Linked DNA regions of Yarrowia lipolytica. The protein of the gene in region 2 binds, or shares a complex with, the protein of the main gene of each other region. Links are inferred from orthologs where the notes say so. Each region holds a gene or a part of one and is shown on either strand. Other genes may lie near its edges.

What was found.
Region 1: the proteins of YALI1_E11370g (region 2) and YALI1_F30703g are in contact, whole or in part, in a crystal structure (PDB 4N0H), measured with the Saccharomyces cerevisiae proteins. The link is inferred for Yarrowia lipolytica from reciprocal best matches to the Saccharomyces cerevisiae genes PET112 and HER2. Residues at the interface, in NP_009473.2 of Saccharomyces cerevisiae: Tyr66, Ile69, Ala70, Leu71, Pro72, Gly73, Thr74, Gln75, Pro76, Val77, Arg105, His107, Phe109, Tyr110, Gly111, Pro114, Gln115, Gly116, Tyr117, Tyr123, Leu177, Asp297, Arg299, Tyr300, Met301, Pro302, Pro304, Glu305, Pro307; in NP_014021.1 of Saccharomyces cerevisiae: Val56, Leu69, Phe72, Pro75, Phe76, Arg176, Phe177, Gly178, Val179, Ile180, Gln184, Ser185, Met211, Lys212, Asp213, Pro214, Thr215, Ala291, Glu292, Ser295, Asn296, Ser298, Arg299, Tyr300, Arg304, Tyr305, Leu319, Phe320, Arg324, Asn339.

The regions. Positions count from the first base shown.
Region 1 is NC_090775.1:3,068,291-3,072,509, forward strand, and holds YALI1_F30703g (uncharacterized protein), read right to left. Parts: upstream 2,067-4,219; coding exon 657-2,066; downstream 1-656. Other genes in the region: YALI1_F30647g (uncharacterized protein), read left to right, coding at 1-486.
Region 2 is NC_090774.1:1,135,262-1,139,371, reverse strand, and holds YALI1_E11370g (uncharacterized protein), read right to left. Parts: upstream 2,359-4,110; coding exon 592-2,358; downstream 1-591. Other genes in the region: YALI1_E11402g (uncharacterized protein), read left to right, coding at 1-453; YALI1_E11351g (uncharacterized protein), read left to right, coding at 3,551-3,824. UniProt on the Saccharomyces cerevisiae protein: Allows the formation of correctly charged Gln-tRNA(Gln) through the transamidation of misacylated Glu-tRNA(Gln) in the mitochondria. The reaction takes place in the presence of glutamine and ATP through an activated gamma-phospho-Glu-tRNA(Gln).

The DNA.
Region 1 (4,219 bases), on a different chromosome or scaffold from region 2:
GAGGAGATGGCTGACATTGACGCCGAAGATGAGAAGGTTGACAACAAGACAGAGGAAGTCGAAGTGGCTGAACCCGTTGTCGCTAAACCTGCTGTGGTCGAGCGTGCTGTTCCCGACCCTGTTGTCACAGAGGTGACCGAGACGGCAACTATTGGAACCGAGCCCGCCATCAACGGACACGCCAATGGAACTGTCGTTGAGGAAGAGAACGTGGAGGCTGAAGTCCAGGTTGCACCTCCTGTGGAAGCTTCTCCTTCTCCCCCTCCCACTCCTGATCCTCCTCTCATTGTAGACACCAAGAAGGCTCAGGATGTGGTTGACTTCCTTGCTGGTAACACTGGCGAGCTCACTATCGAGGAGCTTGAGCAGGTCTATGCCGCCATCATTGACATTATATGGGCACACCGAGCATCCTGGGACCGAAATGTCATAATCAACGCCATCACTGCCCAGCTGGACGAGATCGTCAATGCTTTCCACGAATAAACAAATAGACCTATATTAATTAATGACTACAGTATGAAATTGTTAAATTATCGATGACTGTGTCACTTATCACGTAATGACCGCTGTGCGTGCTTTTACTGAGGCACCTCCACCACCCGTGTTGTCAGTTCTGAGTCTATTACCATGTAGTCAATCTATATATACATCCACTAATCCTGGTGGAGCTCCTTGCACTTGTCCAGGAGCAGTCGACCGACCTTCATAACGCCCAAATCATCACCGTACTGTCCCATGATCTGCATGCCTACGTTGCCCTGCTTGGTCTTCCAGGGAATGTTGAGGGAAGGAATACCGGTCAGGGAAGCAGGGACGGTGAGTACATCGTTGAGGTAGGTATCAACGGGAGCAGAGTCGTTGAGCTTAGAAAGAGGGTAAGGCGCACAGTTAGAAGTGGGAGCAATGATGAAATCCACACCGGGCTCATCGTTGGCCTTTTGACCCTCGTTACCAGAAAGCACGTTGGGTCGGTTGAAGACCTCGTCGAAATCCTCCTGTAGAATTCGTCGAATCTTTTGCGACCGAATATAGTCGTGGTTGAAGGCGTCTGTCGACAGGTTCCATGTTCCAAGCCACATTCGCCGCTTGACTTCGTTTCCAAAGTACTCCTGTCGAGTAGGAGCGTACAGGGTACCATGTTCCCCTCGGTCCTCGGGAGCTCGAGATCCATATCTGATACCGTCGAATCGTGCGAAGTTCGATGAAGCCTCTGCTGGTGCGATAGCGTAGTAGGCAGGAAGGGCGTTTTTGATGGCAGGAATCGAACATGTGACTACTTCGTGGCCCATCTTGATGAGCTCGTCCATGATCTGTGACCACGCCATTTTGACATTCTCGGAGATGCCCTTAATGTTGTATTCCTTGACGAGACCAAACGTGAGCTTTCTGTGGGGCTTGGGAGGCTTGAGCTTGGCTCTCTTATGGGGTGTGAGACTGGTGGGGTCCAAGGGATCGTACTTGTTGAGGATGTTGAACACCTTTTCGAGCAGATCGATGTCCTTGGTGAGAATTCCAACTGTGTCGAGAGACTGGGCATACGCAATGACTCCGTGTCGCGAGATAAGTCCGTACGAGGGCTTGAGGCCAATGACGGAGCACTGAGCGGCCGGGTATCGCACGCTTCCTCCGGTGTCTGTTCCAAGAGCAAAATGGCACATGTCTGCAGCCACAGCGGCAGCTGAGCCTCCGGAAGAACCACCGGGAGTGTGAGGTTCATCGGGGTACAGGGGGTTGAAGACAGGTCCAAACCATGAGTTTGCATTGTCTGAGCCCATACCAAACTCGTCGAGATTGGCCTTTCCAACAATGGAAACGCCCTCTTGTTTCAGCAGGTCGACAACGGTGGCATCGAAGGGGGATGTGAACGTTTCCAGAATGCCAGATGCACAAGTGGTGTGCATTTCGTTGGTGCAAATATTGTCCTTGACTGCCAGTGCAATTCCTGCCAGGGCTCCCGATTGAGCCACCTGGGGGTTCTCGGCGGTAGAGATCAGAGCATTGCTGTAGGGATTACTCTTGATGATGTTTTCCATACATTTTTGGACGGTCAGTCGTGCACTCATGGCTGGTATGGTGAGGTCGCTCAAACTGTTGATTTGACTTGCTGCTTGTATGCAGATGTTCAGACATGCTTGTGCTAACGGAGTTTATTTGAGACTTCGTAGGTGGGCGATGTAGTTCTTAGGAGTACAAGTAGCTTACTGGATGGCTAAGAGGTGGGTTTAAATAAGAAACTGTTAAATCTAGCACGTACTTATTCATCATTTACCCAGCAGTAGATTGCTTGTATCGTTGTTCCAACAGTACGTATGTCTTGGCCAGTTCAAACTTGATGTGAATTTTGAGAAGCTAGGACTTGATTAGGTGAGCATTTGGACGCTCTCGTGAATCAGTGACAAACCCAGAAGTATACTTGAGTGACACTTGATTTGCTTGTGAGTGGGATCTATTGAATTCGTGGTGTGCTACGATACAATGGACGAAGCACATTCGTACATTAGTAAGCCAATCCAGAAAGACATGATTGGAGAGTAAGAGGGTGTGAAGATCGTACAACACGTAGAGGGATTTATGGGTATATTTGTTGTAATACCCTAAAGATGGTACACAGACTATGGTAGACTGCGCTAACAGGAGCTACAAGTGCTGTACGAGTACATACACGGTGCCCCAAGACTTATAGCCATGGAACATCGAAATGGACTCAATGACGGAAGCAAGAGACATGAATGACTATTTGGGTGATAACAGTTTACGTCACATTGGTATAGAGCAACCCTATAGCCCCTAAAAATCGTCGCAACACCCATTCAAACCCATGTCCAGCTCAACGACCGAACAAGGGCCGAGTGTGGACGTCGAGAGACACACAAACGCCACAGACTATACCACAAGGACGAACTTTCTGTCAATCAGCACAGTACTTGTGTCTACAGTAGGTTAATGGATCCATCTAACCTGCGTCTGTGCTGTCCAAGTCACGTTGACCTACCACTACTTGTAGCTAAGTACGTATGACAGCAGGGGTAGAAGCTAGCGGAGGTTTTTCGGCATCTTTTGTTGTAACATGTCGTTTGTTTCTGGATGTGGCAAGTGGGTCTTTCCCTGGATCTCGTACCAGCTCGCTAGATTTGAATCATTGGTTCCGGCATATATTCGGAACATATTTTGAAGCTCATACGTTGTACTGCGCTTTCGGCCCCCTACCTCGGCCTCCATATCGTGCATGACGTCAGAGATTATGTAGGGAGATGCGGATGTGGACCAATGGGGGTCCAGAAGACGAGTACATTACGAGAGGTGGAGGAACTCACAAGAGACACGCGGAAACAAGGAACCTCAGGGTCCACACATCGAGACGTTCACTCGAGTGCTAAATGTGTAATATGAGTGAGACAATCGTGACAGATGGTACTAAAGACCATAACAGGCGATGAATGACTCACCACGATAATGAAGAGACACCACAACCAACTGCGATACACATGAGACGCATTGCCAGAGCGCGATAATGCCACCCACAGCCAATGTGTCCCTTTCTACCGCCCAATTACACTCCTCTCACCCGCACATTACCCCTTTGTGTCTCGTCATTTTTGGCCCCAAGAGGTAAAGGATAAGATTGAGTCATTGGGCACTGCACCAGGGGTGTACAATTAGTCACATGCAGTTTAATGTGTGGGGAATTATGTTTCAACAAAGAGCAAAGTGGAGGGGCAAAAAGCACTTTTGTTGGCGCAACTTTGGAAAATCTACTCTCCTTTTCCACGTCACAGAACTCGTGTTGTATCCCACCAAATTTGCCACTGTATCAGCTGAATAGAGGCTGCCGGATTAATTATGCCCAGTGTGGTCCCAGTTACCCTCTCCTATTGGCCGAGGTTCGGTAGGTTGCACCTTATTTACATTATACTTTAGGGTTTGATTCTTTGTGCATAGACTGTCAGCTCGACACGCAAAAAAGTATAAAAAAAGGGCCATCGTAACGTATATATACCAAAGAAGATCCTGCCAAGTTTCTGACCATTAACCACCTTCATCCCGCGCTCTCACCCTAGTCTTCAAGCTACGAACAGCTGACTATCTTCAACACACTTCCACACCAATTCAACATGGCTTTTATTCCCCTCGAGATCCCTTCCAAGTCTGCCTCTTCTCAGTCTCTTGATGAGCTGAAGAAGGGCTCTACCTCCCCCACCGACGCCCAGGCCACCTA
Region 2 (4,110 bases):
AGATTCACTTTTGTTGGTACCACTGACTTCTCCACTCACCTCTCTACTCCTGCTGCTGTCAAGTTTAGAGAACAGATTGGCGGCGAAGAGGCGATCCGAAATTACTGCTTCGAGCTGGCTAAGAAGGTGGGAACTTTTGCTGCCGACTTCTTCGGAACTGAAGTCCTAGAAAACGCCGCTGGAACACTCACAACCGCCATGGTCAACATCAGACTGCCCGTGAGCGAAAAGTGGCTCAATGAGGCATCTGCTGAAGATAAGGAGCATCTGCTCCAAGTGATCAACACCTACCCTCTAGAGAACTTTGACACTTTTGTGCCTCCGGTTTTCCACAACGGCAAGCTGTACATTCGACTTTCTTGTCAGGTCTATAACGAGTTGTCGGACTATAAGGTCGGTGTTCAGTCTGTCAAAGAGGCCCTTAAGCAAGTCCCTGGCGTTCTCGCTGAGTGAGCTCTATAGATCGAGCCGACCTATCTATAGCCGTCTTCTCATACACGTGCACATTGTCTGATTCAATTCAGTAAATCTATTATTATTCTATCGTAATTACAGGGATATTGTACACCCACAGGAGATGAGCTAAACAGTCTACATGTGTCGCATCTCAGTTTTCAGTTGACGCTCGATTACGGCGGGGTTGATCCGGCCCTGAGTAGCCTTCATGACCATACCAATCAGGAACTTGATGGAACCCGGCTTGGAGCCGTCCTTAACAGACTTCACAACAGACTCATGCTCGTTGATTACCTGTCTGCAGGCATCCACCACATCTCCAGACTCACCAAGCTCGAATTCCGTGATGGCTTGTTCGATAGTCATGTTCTTGAGATCCTCGGGGTTAGCCAGGAAGTGCTGGAACAGAAGGCGGGCCGAGGGAAGCGTCAGCTGGTGGTTGTGAACGGCCAAAATGAGCTCAGCCAGTTTTGCAGGAGGGTAGATGGAGTTGTAGTCATGAGCACCGAGATCAGGCTCCCCAGACTCGGCAGACTCGGCAGCACGAGCCTCATCGGCCTTTCGAACTCGTCCAAGAAGCTCGTTAACCACCCAGTTGACAGGCTGCTTGAGAGCCTTGGCATCCTCAGTCTCCTCGCTCACTCGCTCAAAGACCTCAAAGTAGTAGTCAGACAGGCCAGCCACGTGAATCAGCGTAAGGGCGTCCTTGGTGGTCACGTAGTAGGGATCATCTGTCAGTCTAGAGAAGACCTTGTCAGGCAGCTCGGGGAGACTGTCTCTAACCTTCAACAAAGTACCCTTACTGAGTCGGATCAGCGGCAGTTCGGGGTCAGGCATGTATCTGTAATCGACAGCGTTCTCCTTGGATCGAAGAATGAATGTCTTCTTGCCATCGAAACCCATGGTCGACTTCTCCACAGTTCCTCCCTTGCCTACCAGTTCTACTTGTCGGTTGTACTCGGCCTCAATGGCGGCTTCGATGGAAGAGGTGTTGGGCAGGTTTTTGATCTCGCACCGCTCTCCGTCTTCTCCAATGGACACGTTGACATCCACTCTCATGGCACCTGACTCAAATTCTCCAGTGGACACACCAATGCGTTTTAGCAGGGTCTGGAGCTTTTTGACAAAGGCAGCGGCATGCGAGGCGGTATGAATGACGGGCGCTGTGACAATTTCGATAAGAGGCATGTTAGTTCGGTTGAGATCCACCAGGGTCTCTGATCCGTGGTAAGTGGACTTTCCAGTATCCTGCTCAAGCTGAATCTGAAGAATAGGAACGTCGATAGATCGAGATGCCAGATCGCGTGTGTCTGCTGAGTCAGTGTTGGCCTCCTTAGCGAGTAGGGCAGGCCATTCATTCTGACTGTACAGATCCCACCAATTGAGCTTCAGCTTTCCGTTGATGGCGAGCGGCTTTCGATGTTGAGTGATCTGGTAGCCTGCGGGCTGGTCCGGGTAGAAGTAATGCTTTCGGTCGAAGGCAGTGAGCTCCTTGACATCACATCTCAGAGCAATGGCCGCCTTGAGCGCCAGAAGCAGAGCCTGGGGATTCAATCGCGGCTGTGTTCCGGGAAGAGCTGCGTCGAAGTAGCTGACTTTTGTGTTGGGCGTGGTTGACAACGAAGGTACTGTGGTGGAAGAAAACAGTTTTCGTTTGGTGAGCAGCTGTGTGTGGATCTCGAGGCCGACAACCAGCTTGGGAGCAGTCGAGGTGGCGTAGGTACGGGATTTAGTCACGTGAGTGACACGCGCGACGATTTTGGTGTCACGTGATATTCGGAGCATGTCTTTTTTTCGGGCTGATGATCGACCGCTGTGGGGTGGTGGTGGTGATTGTGGGAACGTTGTGATTGAGTTGCTCACCCAAGGTTGAAGGTGTAAATTAGGTGCAGCTCCCTGCATGATGTTGCGATTGGGGGAAATGGCAGAGTTGATAAAATGTGTCCTGGATGTGACTATCGGTGAGAGGGTAATTAATATTGTTTTATTGAGTATGGAGAGGTAGAAGGAGACGGTTGTGAGTGAATTGCAGTTATTCTCCGCGTGTTTAAGAGTGTCGTAGAGAGTTGAGCAATGATTGTTGTTCAGTTAGTTGAAAGAGAAGTGTATATTTGTTAAAGATATCGGAGAGACATACAGATAGTTGAAATAAACCAGTTGAACAAAAGATTCTAGTAAACAATCATGTCAACGGATATCTTACCCCTGTCACTATATTGCAACTTCTCTTGATCCTGTTTCACTCTATATGACTAATACTTGCCTACAGTGTGTCCAGTCTCACCAAGGCTGCAATACCCACCATACCACGTCTACTATATGCCGCACAGTCTATAATAGCAATCTGAATGAATACTTAGCAGCATCGGGAATCTGATCCGTAGTTCAATGTCTATAAGTATTCGGAAATGGCAAGTACATGCTACTTTATGCCGACACTGATATTGATTCGACCCATAGTATAGCCAGTAGAGGTCTCAGAAAGACTTGGAAAATGTCAGGGAGTTTCTGAAGAGCTATATGATGTCCTATTAGTTGTATAAATTGATTCGAATAGTTTCAATTCCTTCTGACAAACACTAGATAGGTGTATTTGTTGGACATTAGCAGCAGCATGTACATAGTAGACCAACTTCTCTATTGCTAAGAGATCTTGCACCTTACTGAATTACCTATAATTTTTCACCTCAGATGAATCTGAATGTATAGAGCTATTTGCTCAACTCTGCGACACTCTTCCTCCTTCGTGTCGTGTGGGACGGGCGATACTCGACCGCCCCCATTGAACTCAAGATGAGAAACGAGATAACCAGATGAAGACATACACACTCCCAAATACAAGGGCTTGGGTGACCCTGAAACTGTTTCAAACCAATCTATACACTATCTGACACTCTCCAACATCCAAACTCCGCACTCATCTCATCTCAAGCAGCTACTTTATGCCGTCAAGGTGAGCAGGTCGTATCGCTTTAATCGATACAAGACAGTCGCTATGACTCTAAGGAATGTCCAAATTTTCCCAGGCCCTATATAAACCACCCCCAGACCCTCTTTACTCTCCATCAAACAAGTATTCTTCACACCCACTACAATGCAGATCAAGAACCTCGCCCTCCTCTCCATGGCCGCTCTTGCCGTCGCCGCCCCCATGAACGACCAGGCTGAATCCCCCGAGGACATCCACCAGTTCAAGGATAAGATCCACTCCAAGAAGTGCCCCCAGAAGGAGTGCCCCAAGTCCACCACTATTATCACCACCCACTACACCACCATCACCGGTACCATCGCCATCGATGCCAAGCCCTGTGCTCCTACTCCTACCCAGAAGAAGCACTGCCCCAAGTGCGGTGACCCCAACTGTGGTGGTTGCTAATGGGTTTCCGATCATCTACAATCGAACCCCAGGGATCCTCTAGAGTATTATCAGTACTATGTAGACGTTTTATAACTCTCTCAAAACAATACATTTTTGACCAACCCCAAGCTCCAGTAGTTCTTGATACGCCTCCTAATCTCAACTACTTTTTAACTAAATTGTATTTCATAATCAACTAATAGTTGGGTGTTTTCCACTCATCAACCAGCACAAGTACAACAGGATACTGTCCATCAAATGCGGTATTTGTTTGTGTTACAGAGTACATACGGTAG